4 linked regions of the Macaca fascicularis genome follow. The protein of the gene in region 4 purifies or fractionates together with the protein of the main gene of each other region. This does not show direct contact. Links are inferred from orthologs where the notes say so. Each region holds a gene or a part of one and is shown on either strand. Other genes may lie near its edges.

Region 1 (4,890 bases), on a different chromosome or scaffold from region 4:
GATAAATTAGATCACAAGTCAGATCAGATCCTTCTCTTACTCAAAACCCTTCTGCGACCCTCCATTGCACTTGGACTCAAACCCAAACTTCTCTCCATGGCTGACAAGGCCTTGCAGGATCTGCTCCCACCCCTAGACATCACCTCTTCCCCATCTTCATACAGTCCTCTTGGCTTAAAATATTCCCCTACCTGATCACTTGATTTATTCATCTCAGGTCTCACACATGTCATTTAAACACGACCTCTCAGTTGGGCACAGTGGCTGACACCTGTACTCTCAGTACTTTGGGAGGCCAAGGTGGGCGGATCACTTGAGCCCAGTTCAAGACCAGCCTGGGCAACACAGCAACAAAACCCCGTCTCTGCAAGAAGTACAAAAACTTAGCCAGGAGTGGTGGTGCATGCCTGCAGTCCTCAGCTACTTGGGAGGCTGAGTAGGATCACCTGGGCCCAGGACTTGGAGGCTGCAGTGAGCCATGACTATGCGACTGCACTCCAGCCTGGATGAGAGACCTTGACTCAAAAAGAAAAAAGGCCGGGTGCTGTGGCTCACACCTGTAATCCCAGCACTTTGGGAGGCCAAGGCGGGTGATCACAATGTCAAGAGATCGAGACCATCCCGGCCAACATAGGGAAAACCCATCTCTACTAAAAATACAAAAAATTAGCTAAGCGTGGTGGCACATGCCTGTAGTCCCAGCTACTCTGGGGGCTGAGGCAGAAGAATGGTGCGAACCCAGGAGGTTGGAGACTCCGTCTCAATAAAAGATAAAGAAAAAAGAAAAACAAAAAAGAGGCCCTCTCTGGGATGCTATTGTATCTGTCCACATCCTCCCCCTTTCTAAACTGCTAGAAAGCAGAAAGCATGTCTTTAACACCACGAGACGAAAATAGCCAAGATTCACACACTACATCCTTTAACCTTCACAGCAGCTCTGGAGATGGCAGAGATTAAATTAGTAGTTAGTTCAAAGGCCAGCCACCCAGTAAATGGATTAGGAAAAAAAAGGTCCAAACTCAGGCATTCAAAGTCCACAGCCCAAGGGTTTTACCCTGTTGGATGCTATTTCCCAAGAACTGGCAGGTCCAGAAACTTTAGCTGAATGAGTAAGTGGGGTTCAGAAGTGCTGGGAGGCTCAGTTGCTAGAAGGCAACCCTGAATCAGCCCCAGAGATAATCCAACTTTTGGGAACACCAAAACATCACTATATCCAATCACAGATGTGATTAGGTTACCAAGTCTAGCCAGGCAATCATAGAGGTACAAACGAGACCATGCACCCAACGTAATATTTATTTCTAAAACCGAGGCAGACCAGATTCCTGCCCTGGACTCTAAGGCCACAGCTGGTATCAAGTTCAGGGAATGACCAGGTTCACCTTCTATACAAACCTCTTCCCCCACCCATCCCTCCCACTGCTGCCTCCATAACAAACGTCTCACCACAATGATTCCTGCTACCTTCTCTGTTTAGAAGATGAAAAAGAATGACTTGAGGGGACTGATCAAGTTACTTAGGATAGGGAATAACTCCAATTCTACACCTGAAGCCCCAGGATCTGTGGCTACTGTTTCTTCACAGAAAATTCCTCTTGCAGTTTACCATTTCTTCCCCTATACCAACGGCTTTTCTGCCTCACTGTTCTTACAGGGGACACAGCACCAACCTCTCCCCAAGGCCTTGCAAATAAAGATGAAGCAATGCGATGACTGAACTAAGTGGCTTTTTTATTAGAGAAAGCCGCAATTACAAAGGACTTAAGAATTGGCATTGGGGCCCTTCTTCTTGCCAAAGGTGGGCACAACGTTGACAAAGCGCCGGTTGTACTGCATCCGGCGCTTAGCCCGACCGGTCTTCTTCTTCTTCTTCTCCTGTTTGGCCACCTGAAGAAGGGAGGGTTAATCAGGCCCTGGTTTCTGTCTTCCACACCTAGCATCCTTTCCCTCAGGCTCATCTCCAGGGAGGGAGAAGGCAAACCGGGTAAGAACCCAGGGACTTGATTTAGCTGTGACAGGAAAAGACAAAGTCCAAACACCATGACCACTAATACTCTCACTCACCTTAGGAGTCTGACCTCTCACTTTCCCAGCACGGGCCAGGGAACCATGGACTTTACCTGTAATGGGAAAGGAAGGAACCAGCAGGTAAGAGCAAGAAGGTGCCACCCAGCAGAACCCCTCTTTCCTCAATTCAAGCCTTTAAAGAGAAGCTGGGCCCAACAGGTAATGAGAACAAAGCTGCAGATATCTGACCTTGAAATCTTAAGTTTCATTTCAGGATTTTCCAGCTTCTAACTTTCTAGAGCACTTTGGGGGCCCCGGTCTGACCTAATTTTAGTGGGGAAGCTGATAACCAGACTCGGATCTCGTGATGTGACTGAAACACAACTACACTCTGGCTCAGTCTCCCATGGACGTCTGTGTTCAACATGAGGGATGTAAACAGGAAGAATCACTCTGAACTGAGGGCAGTGAGAAGTACTCTATTACCATAGGTGTGACACTCAGCTGCCAGGACTATGCACCCCCTACCCACTAGACGCTTACCAGTAGTTCAAAAAACATTCTTCTCTCACTCACCTCCAAGCATGCGGCCTGCTACTTCCAGGGTAGTCAGGGCCTCCACCCCGCACTGGCCCAGAGTGGCCTCATCCTCCAAGGGGGTGCCTGCCAGGAGCACGACTTGATCTTCCGAGGCAATGCCCTCCAGTGAAGCTACATGAGCCTACAGGGAAAGATAAGGCTCGTAAGTGTTCCCTCGGGCCGCGAGGGTGAAGAGCACAAGAAAATGGAACCCAGGGCGCACCAAGCAGCCTTACCTTGATTTGGGCGACCGTTTCCTGGCCGGTCACCTCGAGGGTGTGTAGCTCCTGGGCGCGGACAAAAAGCTGCATGTTGACGACTGAGTAAAGAAATACGGCTTGTAAGAGAAGCGAAGAAATGCTCTGGGATAAAGGAGGTTTGGGAATGGAAAGTGGTCCAGAAACGATAGCGATGGGATGGAGGTGGTCGCGGCGGCTCACGTGGGGAAGGCCAGGCCTCCCGAAGAATTCGGATAGGGACTGGAGCAGGGCCACAGAGCCGGCCTGGTTCTTCAGTTTCCCCCGCGCCCTCTGATCCCGCAGCCAATCTGCTACAAGCCCTTCGGATCCAGCCAAGGCCCTATTCTTACCTGAACCGCGGTCCCAGCTGCCGCTACCGCGAAGATGGAGTCGAGAAAGAGGAAGAAGCGAGGGCGCGTCTGTACTGACCGCGAGCTGCGTATCACGTCACTACTGAGCGACCGCGCGGGTCTCTGATATTTGTACCGCCCAAGGCGACCCTAGCTCCGCCCCTTTACGCTCGCACAGGCGAGCCTGCCAGGGGCAGGCAGCGCGCGCAGGAGGGGGCGGAACCAGACCGTTGCGTGCACAGACGGCTGGCGTACGAGGTCAAGATGGCCGTTACCATGTTCCGGGCTGCGCTTCGGGGATGGAGAACCGGTGTCCAGCGGGGCTGCGGGCTACGGCTGTTGGTGAGAGCGCTGAGCGAGGAGCTGAGGGCATCGCGTGGGTGTGAGGCTCAGTGTTAATCATTGTTAACCCCGAAAACTAAGGCATTCCTACTTGGGGCCTTAGTTTTGTCGTTTTCGATCGGAAGAGCTTGTCTCCCGATCGAGTGTAGATACAGAAACGAGAGAGAAAGTGGTAGACTGCGGTGCTCTTTGGGAGCACTTAACACAGTGCCTGGCAGTGTCTATGTAAGCCAAAACGTTTCAGATAAGGGGCGGGATCCTAGCATGAGTGTGCGTAGGGAATTATGATTGCCTTAATTCTTTTTTTCTTTTTTTTTTTTTTGAGACAGAGTCTCGTTCTGTTGCGCAGGCTGGAGTGCAGTGGCGCGATCTCGGCTTACTGCCAGCTCCGCCTCCCGGGTTCACGCCATCCTCCTGCCTCAACCTCCTGAGTAGCTGGGACTACAGGCGCCCGCCACCACGCTAGGCTAATTTTTTTGTATTTTTAGTAGAGATGGGTTTCACCGTGTTAGCCAGGATGGTCTCGATCTCCTGACCTCGCGATCCGCCCGCCTCGGCCTCCCGAAGTGCTGGGATTACAGGCGTGAGCCACCGCGCCCGGCTGATTGCCTTAATTGTTAAGGCAATCATAAGATTAAACACCACTATATCCAATCACAGATGTGATTAGGTGAGCAAGGCCAGCCAGGCAATCATGAAGGTACAAACAAGGTTACGCTGCCAATGTAATAATAATATCTATTCCTAAAACCGAGGCAGAAAGTTAAGCCTTAAGTTTCTAAAGACTTGATTGACTTTTCAGAAGTCTACACATACTCTTTTGAATCCCACCGAAATCCTAAGAGAGGTAGACCATTCAGAGTATCTGAGCCTCCTTTCCATCCCGTCTGTACCCTGCACCATGGAAAACCAAAGACTGGTGCTATCTTATGTCAACTTAAATAACGGACTCTAAAAGAAAATGATATTTATTCTGAAATGGGTGTATACTATGTGCTTATCAGGGAGGTAAAAGAAGACAAAGGTTTTTAACGGAAAAATGGGCCAGGCACGGTGGCTCACGCCTGTAATCCCAGCACTTTGGGAGGCCAAGGCGGATAGATCACCTGGAGTCAGGAGTTTGAGACTAGCCTGGCCAACATGGTGAAACCCGTCTCTACAAAAAATACAAAAATTAGCCGGGTGTGATGGCGTGTGCCTGTAGTCCCAGCTACTTGGGAGGCTGAGGCAGGAGACTTAACTTGAACTTGGGAGGCGGAGGTTGCAGTGAGCCGAGATCACGCCACTGCACTCCAGCCTAGGTGACAGAGTGAGACTCCGTCCCCCCCCAAAAAAAAAATAAAGGAAAGGAAAAAAGAATATTACATAATTGT
Region 2 (5,716 bases), about 140 Mb from region 4:
TGTTGGAAAAAAGTAAACACTGGGTAACTCTAATGTGTAACAAAGTACCTTAGGGAAACTGCCATTTAAAGACAATAAACCTTCCAATCCATACCACGGACCAAATACATAAATAAATAAAATACAGACAATAAACTTGTTTTAAACTTCTATTTAGTTTGCCAAGTTATTCTCCCCCTCATAAGCATTTTCTATAACTGACTTGGAAATCATTTGGGCAACCATTATTCCCGTCACTTTTCAAGATATCAGTCTCTTAATAAAAAGTTTTAAATTTAAAAAATGTTAGGCAAGTGATACATTTTGGCTTTTAAAATACCAAAGAAAATACCAGCAGCCGTTCATAATAACCAAGCAAATCAACACACTCACTAGATATGGCCCCTCACAAAAGTGAGGGCCACACTTTGTTATCCTATCTAATCTGAAAAAACAAAAAAGCAATTAAGACTCATAATTCTATGGAATCACAAATCTGAAAGGAAAATATGGCATTTAGGATTATTAGAGAACATCACCTCAGTTTAAAACAGCCATTTAACCAGAAAGTGTCATCTTTTAGTCTCAACTGCAGGCACACAAAAAGGGCCATCTTCCCCTATTAAACAGTTTAAAAATTTATAGCATGTAAGTGTATATATGTTTGTACACACTCCCACATCTCTAAGTACTTCCAAGTTAGGAAACAGTTACTTATTATGCATGGAGACAGTCCTCTAAAAAATCTGCCCTAACAACTATCTTTATTGTCAAATAATCTTTAAAAACCAAATCCACACACATAAGACCCCTTTTAAGCAGTAGGTAAGAAATAAGAAACTTGTGACACTAAGTGATAGCTGAAGCATTTACTAATTTCCCCCTTTACTGCTTTTCCTGTAATGTTTGAAACCCCACAAAGGCAACCAATTTAAATTACTAGTGCCCTTAAGGATCAATAGATGGATGATTAAATTAATGACTTTAAGATTGTTGGTATGCTCTAATTCCCAATTTCTGACAAAGTCATAAAGCAGCTGAGGAATTGGTTTTACAAGATTTTAAGCTGCTTCACTTTGGTTCGAAGAAAGTAGAACACCATCAGGACACACCCAATTGTTCAATTGCCTGTAACTGGAGCCAAACAGTAACTATCAGTCTCTTCAATAGAATTTTGAAGTTCATTCCCAGCAAATACAAGACAGACTACAAATGTTAGACCTTACACCAAGGTATTTAAATAAATGTCATCAGTAATAAAGCGTACTGGGGTGGAGTTAAGGAGCCAGTCCTTGCAATAATATCCAAGCCACACACACCCAAGTGAACAATAGTTGGCGTCCCCACCCAATATCAATATTAAGCTTACAGAATCTTAGAAACTTAGATTAAACTCACCTAATGAAAAAGACTGACATTTAAAAATGCAAGCTTCTTTTGATATACTTATGTATAACCTGCAAGCTCATTAACTGCACTAGTTTCAGGCATCCATTCTGTTTTAGAAAATGCCTGGTCTACACTCTCAATGACATTCTGCTATCAATTCTCAAGTTCTTCAAATAGGCAAGAGAAGCTACAAAATTAATTCATAAAACATAAACATTAAATATCTGTCTAAAGTATGTCAAGCATTATGTCACAATGTGTTGTCAAAACCACAGAACACAATCAGGTTAACCTTCCTACTATCTGCAGGGATTTTGTTTACAGATATATTCCCAGTAAATAGGACAGTAGAATCTCAAAACGGGTATTGTCCATTCAACACTTTTCTTGTATTTACATGCTTGTATTTTATGCAACTTAATAAGAGTGCTCTGAAATACTGACCTAAGGAAAATGTTGATTGCTAATATGGAATAGTTTTCCCATGGAAAGACTTATTGAATGGTGAACTTAAGTCTTAGTTCTAACTTCATGAAATCATTCCCCACATTTGTCACTTAAAATACTTTTCAGGTAAGAGCTTATTTCTTAGATGGGCTTCATGATCAAAATAACTCAGGCATTTAAACATGCTTCATGTTTTGAACATTCAAAATGAGTGAACACATCTACCTGGTACACACTATTCGTCAGACTCAACTTTTTTGTTTACTTTCTTAAGCTTAAGCATAGTTTAAATAATTACACAAGTCAGCATTACTTAACACACGAATTAAATGATTTATTTAGGTGTGTTAGATTGCCATAAAGCTTAATTGGCTGAAGAGATACTTGGCCTAAGTGATGTACATGCTTTCTAATACTCCAACTGTGTTTCTCCTCAACCTATAATTTTACCACAAGAATTATTTTCTTCATTCACCACCTAGGACCGAGGTTCTTCATTCTAAGCCTCATAAAAGTCCTCAAAAAAAAAAAAAACCACAAAAAACAATAAACCTCCTAAAACAAATCCCACCACGAGGAAATTGTTTTGATTTTCAAAATTAGTTGAATGTCACAGAAGTCAACAAAAGCTAATGAGAACTCCTTTCAGAGAAGCACGTGGCAGGAAGGGGTAATTTCAACTTTCAACATATAAATACAGCTTTAAAGATTCAGACCTTAGGTCCGACACCTGCTTGCTATTGATCATGCACGTTCTTATCTTCGAACTACTTGCTCTTTTTCATCCGTAACAAACTGGTAATGAGAATGCAAAAATCAAGACAATCCTGTGAAACTCACAGTGCCCTGGAAGCAACTATTAACCGCCAGTGAAACTCTGACCATGCTTCACGCACATGTGGAGGGGGAAAAAAAAGCTGCAGACTCTAAAGAGCTCTGCTGCGACTAACGCTGTGACAGCCTCTGCACTCACTTTACCCACGAGGCCCAGAGTCCACCATGTGAAAGACTCAGTTTGGGGAGTCGAGAGAGAGAGGATCGTGACTCGAGGACTTTCCTCGGGACGTCCTGCGATCACCAGTCTTCATTCATAATTCCCGCTTCTGCTTAGTCGAGTGTGGCCAAACTCCTCCATTTCCCAACAGCTCAACTCACCCCAGCAAGTTCTGAGAAAGTCCTAACAGTTGAGAGGTGGAGGAGAAACAATAAAGCACACGCGGCACCCCAACCTGCGGCTGACTCCACACGTCCGATGGCCTGGAACGACCCCCTGCTTTTCGGCGGGGATACTCCGCGCCGTCGTGGGACAAGATGGCAGGACAGGAGCCTGAAACAACAGCACCTCAAAGGAGCAGCTCTGCGCAGTAAGCAGCGATGGACCCCGAGCCCCTCCGTAACTACGGCAAGCGTCGGTGAGCGGCCGGCTTCCCCGCACCTCAGTCCATGCGCTCGCCCGCCAAGGAATCCGGCGGGAAGGCAACAGCCTCCCCGGACCCCGAGCGCGCTCGAGGAGCAGCTCATCTCCGACCACGCTCCTCCGCTCACAACCTAAGGCGGGAAGGGGGTGGCTCCGAGAGCCTCGCCGGCGGTGGCTTGAACTTGGGGCTACCACGCTCCTGGCACCTTCGCAGGACCTGGCTTTTGTCGCGTGAAGAAACGTGAGGAAATAGGCGGCAAAGTCTCCCGCGGACCCTCGGAGCTCCAGAAACAAGTGGTAGCCGGCAGCCCTCTCGCTCCTTCCCTCCATCCCAGTCTCCCCCACATTCTGCCCCTGCTTTACCTTCTTTCTTAAGCGCCACGGGCGGCTGCGTCTCCTCTTTCTTGTCAACCACGCCAACGCTGGGGGGCAGCGGGTTCTTGCGGTCTTTCTGGGACTCCTTGCGCAGCTGTTTGCCTGCCGCGTTGGAGTTGGTCTGGGCCGCGGCCTGAGCTGCGCTCTTGGCCCCGGGGCCCCCAACGCCGCCCCCGCCGGCTTCTTTTTTCTTGTTCTCCGCTGCCTTCAGCACCTCGAAGGGGTCCGATTCGTCGTCAAATAACTGGTCGAATCGGTTGGTGACCACGCAGCCGAAGCCTTCCTGTAAGTGCCCAGGCATGATGGTGGCTCGGCGGCGCGTTCCTCCACGGATTGCAGCGGGCCGCGCCGAGCCAAGAGCGCCTGCTTCAGCTCTTCCCACAAGATGGCCGGGCCGAGAGAGGGGGGCCGTCTTCTCTTCCGGCGCCAGGCACACATCCGGGAGCGGCCAGCGCCGCAAGGCACTGTGGGGTGTGTAGGCCAGAGTAGTTTCTCCTGAGGCGACTCCCTGCGTTGGGACTACAATTCCCAGGATGCACCGCGCGACAACTCTTCGCGCGCGCCCGAGAGGCGGGACCCCAAGAAGGGAGTGAAGCGTGCGAGCTGAAGGAGGGGAAGCGTGGTGGTGGGCGGAGTCCTGCCACCTGCTCTGGTCGCCCTTAAACTCTCTAGGTCTTCAGCTACCCTGAAACCAGAAAAACGTGACGGCGTAGCTGACTCGCGAAAGTGCTCTTTGGTTTCACTCACGCTCCCTCGGGCTCAGGCTAACTTTCCCCACCGCTCCGGGAAGGGTCAAGGTGACTCCCAGACCTTACATCTGAGACGCACAAACTTCCGGGGGAGGGGGTGTTGCTGAGACGCCGCGCCGGCAGCGAGTAGGCTGGACCCTGCCTGTGCCAAGTCCGAGCAGCTCAGTCGCTGGAGTGCCCTTTTGTCAGGCTCCACGGTGAATCGAGGCTCTTCTGTCTAATGTGAGGTGGAATACGTTTCCTCTCGCGGGGACGTGAACTAGGGTAGCAGAACTAACCAAAAAGACAAGTGAAACTATCACATGGGAGTGTGGCGCGTCTTTCCCGGGCTTCTCACCGTGTGGCGGCCGGTGTCGTAGGAGTGGTTAACTCCTGACTGTGCAGCGCTAGACACTGGGCAAGCCGCTAGGAAGCACTGTTTACAGAAACGCTGTTACAGTCATTCCAATTAATTGTCCGTTCGTGTCCGGCAAGTCAGGGCTTAGGTGGCTGTGGTGTTAGTCACATGCGCTCAATAAATACCATTTTAGAGCATTTCGAGTGCGTGTGTGCTAGGAGTTGCGGTGAGGGGTGGGAAATATTGAAGTCAATACTTAATAATAACAAAGCATTGATACTAGTTGAGAATATTAAAGTTCATTAAAAGAATACAGTTTGAATGCATTTTAAGCACATTTGGTAGCACCGTGTTTAAATATATCATAATTTTTAAATCCTTTTCCATTAACACAAAATAGCAAATGCATCTCTGGCAGGAGCTATGAATAACCTTGAACTCAACATTGTGTTACGCAAATAGTTGCCTCTTTTCACAAATGCTGAAACCACTTCAGAGATGAAATGATTTACCAAATTCACACCTCTGTAAGTGCTAGTGACAGGTATTAGCCCAGCCTTCTACCTCCACTAGGAGACCGGACATCAGCTCTTTAATTCAGACTCTGCACTGATAGAAAGCTGTCCAATGTTTAAGTTTCCGATATGATTTAAACATGGTTGTGTGTCAGGGTATGTAACATGGCGGAATGTAATCATCAATTTCCGAGCAGATTTTAAATCAATTCCTTAGCAGGGAAAATAGAAGACACGAGTCATATTACATACATGTGGCAGCAAACCTCCTGGTTTTCTTATTTCTCAATCCTCCCCTACTCTTCAGAGCCACTTACTTCCCTGCTGCCTCAGTCCTACCCACCCCAACCTCAAACACACCCCCTATCTCATCCTCTCTTTCACAGGCTCTGGCTCCGTGGCACCTACCAAGACAAGGAGCTTTTGACCATACTCTTCCCACCTTTTCGAAATAGCTCAAGTGCAATGTAGAAGATCTCCACATTTTGACAGATCCTCTCTCTTCACA
Region 3 (5,910 bases), on a different chromosome or scaffold from region 4:
TCGGGAGGCGGAGGTTGCGATGAGCCGAGATCACATCATTACACTCCAGCCTGGGCAACAAGGGCAAAACTCCATCTCAAAATGAAATAAAATAAAATACAATTTTAGCAAGGCAATACAAATCTTCACTATACAGAACATGCCAAAATTTGGTCATGGTTTTCAGGACTCAATGACATTTGTTATTGGAAACCAGCTGTTATGTTTTAAATAAGCTTTTGCATTGACATTCATTAATTTCATAGCATAAACTTTTTGCTTTTAAGCTTCTTGTTCCTTTAATGTTGTCCTGTTGTAGGAATTCAAGCCACATTTAAAAAATTCAAAAATTTAACATACATTGAGGAAACAGTCCATATGTCCACTGCTGAGTGAATAAACAAAATGTGGTATATACATATAATGGAATATTAGTCAGCCTTAAAAAAGAGGGAAATTCTGATATATGCTACTCTGAAGACATTACGCAAAAACGCTAGTCACAAAAAGACAAATACGGTACAATCCCACTTAAATGAGGTACCTAGAATAGTCAAATTAGTAGAGACAGAAAACAGAACAGTGGTTATCAAGGGATAGAAGGAGGAGGGAAAGGACAGTATTTTTATTGGGTATGAAGTTTCAGTTTGGAATGATGAAAAAGTTCTGGAGATGGATGATGGTCATGGTTCTACAACAATATGAATGTACCTAATGCTCCTGAACTGTACACTTAATATTAAGATGGTAAGTTTTATATTATGAATATTTTACAATTTAAAAAATCCCCCAATCTATAACATACATTGAGAAAAGTACATTTTACCTGTATATTGTTTAACAAATAATCACCACCAAATATATGTATAATCACCACCTAGCCCCCAAAATGAAATATTATCAGTAACCTGTGTCCCTCCCCATCACAACCCTCTTTTCCTGAGTAAGCACTATCATGGCTCTAACATTTGCTTTTGAAAATCATACTGTGATGTGGTAATGCAGGATAAGTTAAATCTACACTACAACACGCTACAGAATATTTCTTTAAATTTCATTTTTTCCATAAGTGCAAAAAAAATCCCACTTAATAACTTTTAAATGCTCTTTCTCCCCTTCCTTTGCTCTTGAAACTTCATATTCTAAAACCTATTTTGGTGCCATAGTTGACCTCACCTGCAGTTTAATTAAAAAAAAAAAAAAACCCACAACCTTCAGTGTAGATTTTCATTCCTCCCGCTCCCCCTTGCCTCCAACTACAAAGAAACAATGATTTAAACCCTTTGTGCCCTTTTAGAAAATTACACAGATACCCCATTGTGGAACCCTATAATCCCTTCGTGGAAAGGAAGAGATTAGCATATGAATACAAAGCAAAATGAATCCAGAATACAAAATGATCTACTGGATTGTGAAGCTCTTGTATTCTTAAAAATGTATTTATTTCCTCTTTTTGTATTGCCCCTTTAGTGGTCTTAGGGTTAAGGGAATTGAGCTTCCCTTTCTGGTTACCCGGAAAAGGATTAACAACAAAAAACAACAAAAAACAAAAAAACCACCAGATTCTAATAGGTGCAAAACCAACAGATGGCTCCCAGCGCCAGTGGAATCGCCAGTGGAATCTGCTACCCTCGACATGAGCTTGCTTGCCGGCGAGGAGTGTAGAAAGTGCTGTTCGCAGACTGCGTGGTGAAGGAGAGAAAGCGACAGAAGAGAGAGCCATAGTGCTGACGTTGAAGGCCCGGCCCTGTGAGGTTGCACAGGGTAAGTGGCGTTGGCCAGGCGGCAGCGGCGAAGGGGAAGGAAAGAGGATTTGAGCTGGGGGCGGGGCTTGCGGTACAGCGTGGCTCCTGATTGTTGGAGCGCGGCTGCCAATCTCGCAGAATCGCTCGGTTAACCAGTGCGCTGGCGAGACGCGCTCAGATATACTGAGTGAGCCCTGAGAAGCAGTCTCAGATCCTGACGGTGCAGCAGCCCGCAGCCTCAGCCAGGGAGTCCCAGCCGCTTTCAATGGAGGAGAAGCCCGGCCAGCCACAGCCTCAGCACCATCACAGCCACCACCATCCGCACCATCACCCTCAGCAGCAGCAGCAGCAGCCGCACCACCACCACCATTATTATTTCTACAACCACAGCCACAACCACCACCACCACCATCATCACCAGCAGCCTCACCAATACCTGCAGCATGGAGCCGAGGGCAGCCCCAAGGCCCAGCCAAAGCCGCTGAAACATGAGCAGAAACACACCCTCCAGCAGCACCAGGAAACGCCGAAGAAGAAAACAGGTCTGGGAGGGAGGACGGGTGGGGGAAGGGGGTTGGGGGTGGAGGACAGGGGAGATGGGGGTGGGGCTGGATCCGAGAAGCGCGGACGGGGTCGGGATGTGTGTGTGTGTGTGTGCCCTCCGGCTCTGGGGATGCCCCTTTCATTCTAGGGCTCGGGCTGAGCAATGGGGTTTGCAGCGCCCTCCTTCCCTCCAGCATGGGAGAGGCCCAGCCAGGCCAGCGTGACCTTCCCGGCCCCCGCCCCGGCTGAAGGGAGACCCACTGGGTCGGCCTTGCAAGTCCAACCTCGTTATTCTTTTCCATTCACCTCTCTGCGTCCCTGGAGTTACCTCAATATGGGGGCCCTGAGATGGGGTAAACCTACCCCCCAAAAAAATCCCTCGAGGTGTAACTCAGGAAGGCCTAGCGAATCCCGCCTCGGATGGTGTCGCGAGACCCTTTTGCAGGCGGCCAGGGGTGGGTAGGTAGGCTGAGTTGAGGAAGTGCCCCTCACCCGCCACCCCAAGCCCACCTGTGGCCTTGGGGCTCCCCATCTTGTTGGGGGGGCTGTTGGGACCCCTCATCTCACGGGTCGTTTCCACCACTAGACGCCTTTTTTGGGCGCCGGACCCCGCAGTCTTGTCCCGCGGCTCCTCCCAAGGCTGGTGCCCCGGGCCCGCTCCCCCCAGAGCCGGCGCGGCTGGAATGTTCTCTCCTCCTCGCGGGGCCGCTTCCTGTCCGCCATGTTGGAAGCCGATTCCTGTCACCGACTCCGGCCCACTGAGGAGCGGGGGGGAAGGGTGTCGAGGGCCACACGGCGCGTCGGAGCTGGGTGACCTGGGATCACCACCGGCCGCCGCCTCGCCCCCTGCACTGCGGGGGCGCCGCCGCCCCCCGCTCCGCGGCCGCCCCTCCCCCGTCACCGGCCGGGGTTGTGTAACCCGGTGGCGGCGCGAGGCCCCGGGCGGGTCCCTGGGGTGAGGGGCGGGGGCGGTTGGGGTGGGGGAGGGAAGCGGCCACGAGGGGAGCGGCCTGCGCAGGGCCCCGCGCGCCAGCGGCCGCGTTTCCCGCTCCCGGGTGCGGCGGGAGGCGCGGGCAGTCGGGGCGGGGAGCCGGCCTCGAAGCGGAGCTGAGGGGGAAGGAGGCCGCGGGCGGCGGCGGCGGCCGCGGCGCTCCTAGGGGCAGGAGGCCTGGGGGGGCGGCGGGGGGATTCATTTTGGGTAGAGGCGGTGCCTGAGGCCGGGTGGGGTACCCAGCGGGAACCCAGCTCCCCGGTCACGAGTTTCTCTGCCACAGGAACCTCGTCTCCTGCCAGGTTCGCTCACGACTCCGCCTCTGAGGCTTTCACTTGGGCCTTTTCCTTCTAGCAGCTCATTTTCTACAAAAAAAAAAAAAAAAAAAAAAAAAAAAATTAACAAAAACCTTGTTCCATTCCCCTCCCCAGCCGGCACTTACCTTCTGAGCTTGGGTAGTGTCTTTGAGGTGAGAGATTTTTTAAAATGTTAGGATGAGGAACAGGGCGAGCTTTTTGACCCCCTTTCTTGTCCTTAAGGGTGAACCCAAGTGGCTCATCCATGAGGTTAGATTACTACCATCTTGCCTCGGATGAGGCTTCTCTCCATGTTAAAAAGAAAGGTGTTTTTTCGTATTTTAAAGTCGATATTGATCCCCAAACTAATATTAACAAACGAGAAATTGAGGGTAAAAGTCATGTAAGAAAGTATTTCACGAGAAGTAAGTTTAAAAGTTTATAACCCTCGCATATTTTGAAAAATAAGGGCTCTATATAAATCGAAGAGAAAGGAAGCATAAAGCGTATGTTAAACCCAGCGTATCAAATTTGATAGAAGGAATTGTTGAGAGCTGGAGAAAAACTAAGTGCTTTTTAAATTGCAGATTGTAACTTGAAGACTGAAATTAGAGTGTCAGATTTTCCATTTTGGGAGTTCGTTAGGGACCCGATGGTATGCAACAGAAGTGAACACGTAACACACGAGTTAGGTGTTTAATCCTAAAGATTTAGAGCAGTTTAAAAACTGTTAGGGACTACATAACTAGATTTTTTTAGCGTTAGATCTTGTTCAAAAGATGAGAAAATACTACCGTATTATGGCTGCATAAGGCAATATTACTGTTGAGACTGAAAAATTGTATTTCATCGGTCAGGTAAATATACTCTTGCAAGACTTCTCTCTACATGTAGAAGCAGCCCCTAAACCATTCAAGGTGGTATTCCTCCAAATATTTCTTATCTCGGAAGACGTGGATAAAGAGGAGGAAACTGGAATTAGGAGTTTTGACAGAGTATAAACAATTTGGGGCGAGTGTATGGTTTGGTCACAGTACTGTTGCTTTGACATGCATTATGCTAATAACTAAGAAAACATTACAATATTTTTGAAATTTATCTGTAACATGTTGAGGTAGGCTTTTGTAACCCATTACTCACAAACCTAAAGAGGAACAGTTTTTTTTGTTTATCCAGAAGAGGGCGCAAGAGAAGGCCAAATGTGTTGAGTAATTTGTTTCTAATTGAAAAGCTAGATTTATCAGGACTCAAGTTTTGCTGAGTCTTTTGGAAGTAGGATTAGTATGTATAAGCAGCCCTAAATAATAAAAGCGCTAGGAGTCCTTTAATTTCTTAAATTTATTCTATAATGTTTACATTTTTCTTAAATATCTAAGATATAAAAAAATTTATTTCTGGCATACTTTATACATACCAACAAGGTTGTCATGAGGAAAGTTTTATGTAGTTAAACGAGATTTTCTTTCTCTTTTTTGTTATTAAAACTTACAGGTGGGAGCACAGTGGCTTCTAAGCCGTTTTTTCATTGTTTGGTGAATTCTAATAGCTGAGTCACTACAAACTAGAATCTTAGGAAGAATTATTCTAGTTAGTTTTGGTTCAGCTCAGTTTGGAGATTGGATTTTTTGCTATTTCAAGTTGCTCATCTTTAATTGAAATCTGAAAAGTTGTGACTAATGGGCCCAAGGATACAAACCTTTGTTTAACCTGTTGGTATGTTAAATGATATAGGTAGTCTTGTATTCCCTCCAGAGTTAGGTAATGTATGTTACATTTTTGAATTTTTTAAATGTGGCTTGAATTCCTGCAACAGGACAACATTAAAGGAACAAGAAGCTTAAAAGCGAAAAGTTATGCTATGAAATTAATGAATGTCAATGCAAAAGCTTATTTAAAACGTAACAGCTGGTTTCTAACTGTTTCCAAGTTATATCTATTAAAAATGATGACAGCCTTTATTTAGGGGACTTTCTGCTTTTGTTTCCTTTCTTTTTTTTTTTTTTTTTTTTTGAGGCGGAGTCTCACTCTGTGGCCTAGGCCGGAGTGCTGTGGCATGATCTCAGCTCACTGCAACCTCTGCCTCCCGGATTCAAGCGACTCTCCTGCCTCAGCCCCCTGAGTAGCCGAGATTACAGGAGTATGCTACCATGCCCAGCTAATTTTTTTTTTTTTTTGATTTTTAGTAGAGATGGGACTTCACCATATTGGCCAGACTGTTCTCAAATTCCTGACCTCAAGTGATTCACCTGCCTGGGATCCCAAAGTGCTGGGATTACTGATGTGAGCCACTGCTCCTGGCATTTTTCTGAGGAAAAAATAAACTTTTAGAAAACATTCTTCCTGTTTCATAGTTAAA
Region 4 (5,736 bases):
CTCCTGACCTCAGGTGATCCGCCCCCCTCAGCCTCCTAAAATGTTGAGATTACAGGCGTGAGCCACTGTATCTGACCTTTAACGTATTTTTAATTGAAACTTTGACGAGATAAAAATAAACAACTTAAAAATCATATTGCTTAAGGGAACCTTTTAAGGAGCCTTACCAACTGAGGTACAACTATTAATAGTTCAAAGAAGTTGGCCGGGCACGGTGGCTCACGCCTGTAATCCCAGCACTTTGGGAGACCGAGGCGGGTGGATCACGAGGTCAGGAGATCGAGACCATCCTGGCTAACACGGTGAAACCCCATGTCTACTAAAAATACAAAAAATTAGCTGGGCGTGGTGGTGGGCGCCTGTAGTTCCAGCTACTCAGGAGGCTGAGGCAGGAGAATGGTATGAACCTGGGAGGAGAAGCCGGGATCACCCCACTGCATTCCAGCCTGGGCTACAAAGTAAGACTCCGTCTGGGGGGTGGGGTGGGGGGGAAGAAATTACATTATCTAGGTTGCTTGTAATGGAAGTTGAGTTACTTGCTTCACCTAAACAAGGAAGTTGGCATGTTTGCCTAGCAACAGTCGCTAAAACCTTCTGTTGTGGAAGGTTCCCTAGGAGTGAGAAGAAGGGAGGAGGAGGAAAAGCAGGAGGAGCAGATTAATCTGTTTTTCCTAGCAGGGTACAGAGGCCTGGTTTGAGGAGGGAAAGGCTTTAAGAGATCCCTTTAGATTGGCACATGCTAACCTAAATCCCCCTATGGTAGCTAGAAATTCACTCTCTGTAGGACTAGGGTTACTATTTAGTAGGCTGAAAAGACGATTACAGATTAAACCCAGTTCAAAGGCAGCAAATTCCAATCAATAGAAAGACATCAATAGGTCTTCTAAACAGAAGCTGAGATTTCAGGAGCAGGAGGGTGTTAACAACTAAAAAGAATTCTTCTCTGCCAAGAGTTTAGGAAGGTGTGTTATATTTCTTTAAAATAATACAAAAATACTATCTGTGATAGCGATTCCAATGTATCAAGTTAAAGGCAGAAGTGCTTCTCTTGGGGTACTGTGATGTAAACAGTGAAGAAAGGACAGAAAAACATAATCTCTGCTCTCTTGGTCAAGTCCTGAAGCAAAAAAGGTGATGCTGCCGAGTAGAGAGTATTAAATGGTTGTTTATTTGGGGACTCTCTCTCTCTCTCTTCTCTTCTAGATGATTTATTTTGAAATCAGTACTGTATGGTGTTACGATAATCCCATTTCTTCCCCCTCTCAAAAGCTAAAGAGGGTTTGGCTAAAATGAATTGTCTGAAGGGACCTCTCATTCCCCAAAACCAAAACGGCACCTTTTCCACAAGGGACAAGAAACTTTTAAAGAGTAGCAAGGTTAGATTTCAGGAGCTCTTCGACGAGCCACATCTTTTCCTGTCGTCCCCAAATAGCTCTTATTGTTCACACAGCCCAGGAGAGACGTTTTGGAGTAGCGTGTCCGGGCCTTTGGGCTGTTTCACAGCCTTAGGAGGCTGAACTCCAAGAGGGGTGACGAGGACAAAGCTGATGAGATCCAGAACCTAGATAATATGGAAGAAGACAAATGGGGTGGGGGACAAGACGTGAAAAAGAAACCAGAGTTGGGGGACAACGGCTGAGAAAGCCAAAAGAGTAGACGTATTGCGGGGTTCGATGGAAACGACAGAAATTCCTCCAATTTACTCTCGCCATCTGGCCACTGGCCCGCTGAGCCCAAAGGCGCCGGTGCGGGAGGGCAGGCCGGACGGAGGGACCGGTTCCTCTGCTCAGGGAGTGTGAGACTTTGGGTCGCGGCGGAGAGCGTCGCCGGCCTCCCTCCCGGGCGTTGGTGGCCGGTGACTCAGAGCTTTGCTCCCGCGCCCGCCCCGCCCCTCCGCCCGCCCCGCCTTCTGAGGGAGGATCCTCGCCCTCGTCTCCGCCCCAGTCTCCGGGGCGGGCCGGAGCCTGAGGAAGAGGAAGGGGACGAGGACAACGAGCGACTGGGCGGCGGAGGACGAGGAGGAGGAAGAGGAGGCAGACCAACAAGATGGCCCCTGCTGCAGGAGCAGCCTCAGCAGCAGCAGGTGGGAGGCCGGAGGCGGTGCTGGCGGTGGCGGCGGCAGCCGTGGCCCGGCGGCCTGGGACAGAATCAGAGTCAACGGTGGCAGCGGCGGCGGCGGCGGCTGCCGCGGCGGTGGCGACGGCCGCGGGGACTCGGAGCTGAGAGGAGCTGCTGCTCGGACCAGCGCGGTGAGCGAGCGGCGGGCGGCGACTTGGGGAGCGGGGCTGCCGCGGCCGGGGCCTCCGTCGGGAACAATAGGCAGCTGTGGTCGGGAAGGATTTGTCCTCGCCCGCCCTCTGCTCCCCGCCGCAGCGGCCGCCCGGCCGGCCCCAGGCTCCTCAGGGCCCCCGCCGGCTGCTCTGGGGCTTGTCAGTGGCCGGCGTCCTTTAGGCCTCAGGCCTCTGCATGCCGCCTGGAGGGCCTGTAGGGGTAGGTAGGCCGAGAGGAGGGCGAAGGGAGGCTCGGACTAGAGGGAGGGGGCGAAAGGGCTGCCTGGCTCCTCTGGTGCTGCCAGGGCCTGGGCCAGTCGGGGAGTGCGCACGGGAACTGCTTTTTGGACCCCTCCTCTGTGGGGGTGGGGGAGGGCGAAGGCGTCTGTAAACAGGCGCCGCCTCTGACTCCCAGCACCTTAGGGCTGCTCCCTCCCCCAGCCCCTGAAGCGCTCCCCCTCTTTGGCCAAGCGGGGTTCACGGTGTCTGTTTCCCTGAAGCCCCTGGAGACCTAGCCTGTGGTCTTCTCCCTCCTGGCGGTGGGAAAATTGTGTGTGTGCAGGTGTCTTAAAAAAAAAAAAACTGAAATGCAACAAAAACATACAAAATATGGTTATCGATAAAGGATGGAATGGTAAGGGATGCGCCTCTCTAAACATCTCTAAGCATCAGTTCTGTAAACATCAGTTATGCCCGCGCCCCAGTTGAAAGTGAATTGAAACAAGAGCTCTTTTGGAACAGTAATAATACTACTCTTGACATATCAGAATAGCCCATGAAACTGGAGACAAACACTTACTTTCAACGCGGAGACAAATTGTAATGTTTAAAGAGAACTTTTATTCCAGCTAGGCGTTTTAAATTACTAACATGCAGTGTAAGAAGCAACATTAACTAGCGTAAAGTGGACCTCAGGAAGCATTTCTAAAGGAGACACAGAGGTGGTTCATCTCCAGCCATAGAGCTTCTTGTGCCTTGTCTCCTGTTTCAGTAATTTGTCCCTAAATTGTTCAAGACCAGTCTTTTCTCTGAGTTAGAAATTTGATTTCATTTTTGTTTGTTCTTGTTTTGTTTTGTTTTGTTTTTGAGACGGAGTCTTGCCTTGTCACCCAGGCTGGAGTGTGTGGCGCAATCTCGGCTCACTGCAGCCTCCATCTCCCGGATTCAAGCGATTCCCCTGCCTCACCCTCCGGAGTAGGTGGGATTACAGGCGCCCGCCACCACGCCTGGCTGATTTTTGTATTTTTAGTAGAGACGGGGTTTTCACCATGTTGGCCGGGCTGGTCTGGAACTCCTGACCTCAAGTCATCTGCCCGCCTCAGCCTCCTAAATTGCTGGGATTACAGGCCTGAGCCTTAAACTTAATTTTTCAAGGCTTCTACCACATTTTCTTACAAGTGAGGGAAAAGGTAGATTTAAGTTATTTCTAAAGTACTTTCTACCTAGGTATGCAGAAATTTATATTAAAATTGCTTGGATACATCCAAGGAAATTGCTTTTCACTTGTTAACATTCAACTGTAAGGCCTAAGGGTTATAGGTTGTGTTCTTAAGGAAGACTGACCTGTGCTGAAAAGATGCCAGTTAATGTCTTTCACCTCTTTTAAGGGTACATTTCTAAGTAGAATTGGTCTAAGTCTGTTATAATTAAAAACATTTTCAGGTTACATGAAGTCTAGTAAGCAGCACTAGTCTACCTCTTAGTTCTTCCACAACAATTGATACTGAATAGACTAGCAATTGAATAAACATAGAGGTTGAATTATCTTGGTTAGGATTTGAAGTATAGTGAGTGAATATCAATACTGACTTTCATTTTATGCCTAGCATAAATAATGTTGGAGATGTTTTGATTTTTTGAGTGACGGAGAAAGAACAACTTTCTGTGGCTCCTGATGTTGTGACTTTTTTGCAAACATTTCAGAAAAGACACCGTTTTTCAGATGCTCAGATCTGTGATTTTTTTTTTCTGTGCTAAATTTTGTTAGGTCAGCACAGATTCCAAGTCCATGTTATAATGATAGTTAAATTTATGTTTGGCCCTAAACCTATTAGAACAATTGTAGTAATTGATAGCTTGTAAGTTTTAAGTGGTTCATGTACTGTGTTATGAAAAAAAATCTCACCGTGTTATGTCAAGGGCAGATTTACCTCATATTTATTATCATTTTCCTGAAAATAAGTATTTTTAAGTGGTAAGGTTTTGTATTTGAGATTGGTTATTGACCCAGCAATTTATGGGCTTAGTCTGGGTCCTTATTTGTTTAATAGGAAAAAATTTAGGGAATTGTTTTTATTCATTTTATGTCAAAACAGTTTTAAGATGTGATCCCTCAATTGTCCCGTCTTCAGTGTCAATACTTATTACTTAAGTTCAGATTTTCTCAAGTAATAAAAATTTACTTCTAAGAAGTTTTGGGACCAGAGCTTAAGAATTAGATTTATATTTTCTTAGTAATATTAAAAATTAATACATGCTTGATTTATTTGAAGAAATTAAAAAGGGTAATTTTGTACACAATAATACAAATTTAGTTTTTCAGAACATATTTGTTGAATGAATAAAAATATTTAATCTTCCTCATTATGCTGCAGTATTAGTTCTGTTGTCCTCATTTTTTCATATGAAGAATCTGAAGCTAGGAGTAGCTACATAATGCGCAAAAAGATCACATAATTAATAGGTAAAAGAGCTTACTCAGACCCAGGTCTTGTTACACAAATTAGATTCTTTGCCACTACCACATGTGTCACAGTTAAACTTTGCAGCATCTTCTGTGTCAACAGATTCCTTTTTTTGCCTGTGAACTTACCCTATTATCATTATTTGTATCCTGTCAGATATCTACTTGTAAGAACAAGAAAGTATTTGTTCATGTGAATCACAAAAGAAACACTTAACTTTTTGTTTTTAGCATATCTGAATGCTATAAAATATAAAAACTCATACTGTTTACATAGGACAGATTTATCATACTGCTATAATTGTTTTCATGGTTAATTTGTTATATAGGCAATTACTAAATTGTGCCTTTTAAATACTTTATAAATTCTTAAAAATAACTAAAGATATTCAGTGATGTTAAAGTTGGGTCAGCTAATAATATTTGAAGTTCTTAATTTATACATTTTTTTTCTTTAAGCCATGGATAATTTAGAATTCTGCAGTATTTTTCATCTCCAGATCTTAGGACTTGAAATGGATTTTGATGGGTCTAATCAGTCCACTCTTGTATATATCTTGAAAGTGGTCAGCATCCAACAAAGTGAGGAATAAACTGATAAATGATCCCTGTTTGGTGAACACCTCGGATCAGGATGTTCCTTGGCAGGGTATTCTGACCTGGTTTAGCTTTGGCCCTGTCTGTGCTCAGGGTTCAGGTATTCTTCAGGATTGGGTTCAGAGGGATTAAAATTCTCAGATTGGCCTGTATCAGAACAGTCACAGATTTCAGTCAGCCTTTTCC

The links. Proteins that work in one complex are often made in the same cells at the same time.
Region 1: the proteins of RC3H1 (region 4) and FAU purify together in Homo sapiens (affinity purification with mass spectrometry; 3 studies listed by BioGRID, with this or other methods). This does not show direct contact. The link is inferred for Macaca fascicularis from reciprocal best matches to the Homo sapiens genes RC3H1 and FAU.
Region 2: the proteins of RC3H1 (region 4) and SERBP1 purify together in Homo sapiens (affinity purification with mass spectrometry, with the first as the bait; 3 studies listed by BioGRID). This does not show direct contact. The link is inferred for Macaca fascicularis from reciprocal best matches to the Homo sapiens genes RC3H1 and SERBP1.
Region 3: the proteins of RC3H1 (region 4) and NUFIP2 purify together in Homo sapiens (affinity purification with mass spectrometry; 3 studies listed by BioGRID, with this or other methods). This does not show direct contact. The link is inferred for Macaca fascicularis from reciprocal best matches to the Homo sapiens genes RC3H1 and NUFIP2.

The regions. Positions count from the first base shown.
Region 1 is NC_088388.1:9,247,317-9,252,206, reverse strand, and holds FAU (ubiquitin-like FUBI-ribosomal protein eS30 fusion protein), read right to left. Parts: upstream 3,227-4,890; 5' UTR 3,176-3,226; intron 2,906-3,175; 5' UTR 2,898-2,905; coding exon 2,823-2,897; intron 2,729-2,822; coding exon 2,584-2,728; intron 2,121-2,583; coding exon 2,065-2,120; intron 1,888-2,064; coding exon 1,762-1,887; 3' UTR 1,711-1,761; downstream 1-1,710. Other genes in the region: MRPL49 (large ribosomal subunit protein mL49), read left to right, coding at 3,440-3,517.
Region 2 is NC_088375.1:167,245,541-167,251,256, reverse strand, and holds the start of SERBP1 (SERPINE1 mRNA-binding protein 1), read right to left. Parts: upstream 4,011-5,716; 5' UTR 3,909-4,010; coding exon 3,596-3,908; intron 1-3,595. UniProt on the Homo sapiens protein: Ribosome-binding protein that promotes ribosome hibernation, a process during which ribosomes are stabilized in an inactive state and preserved from proteasomal degradation.
Region 3 is NC_088390.1:34,778,664-34,784,573, reverse strand, and holds the start of NUFIP2 (FMR1-interacting protein NUFIP2), read left to right. Parts: upstream 1-1,900; 5' UTR 1,901-1,989; coding exon 1,990-2,266; intron 2,267-5,910. UniProt on the Homo sapiens protein: Binds RNA.
Region 4 is NC_088375.1:31,616,327-31,622,062, reverse strand, and holds the start of RC3H1 (roquin-1), read left to right. Parts: upstream 1-2,395; 5' UTR 2,396-2,490; intron 2,491-5,219; coding exon of another isoform or gene 5,220-5,244; intron 5,245-5,736. Other genes in the region: uncharacterized protein, read right to left, coding at 1,506-2,395, 5,220-5,244. UniProt on the Homo sapiens protein: Post-transcriptional repressor of mRNAs containing a conserved stem loop motif, called constitutive decay element (CDE), which is often located in the 3'-UTR, as in HMGXB3, ICOS, IER3, NFKBID, NFKBIZ, PPP1R10, TNF, TNFRSF4 and in many more mRNAs.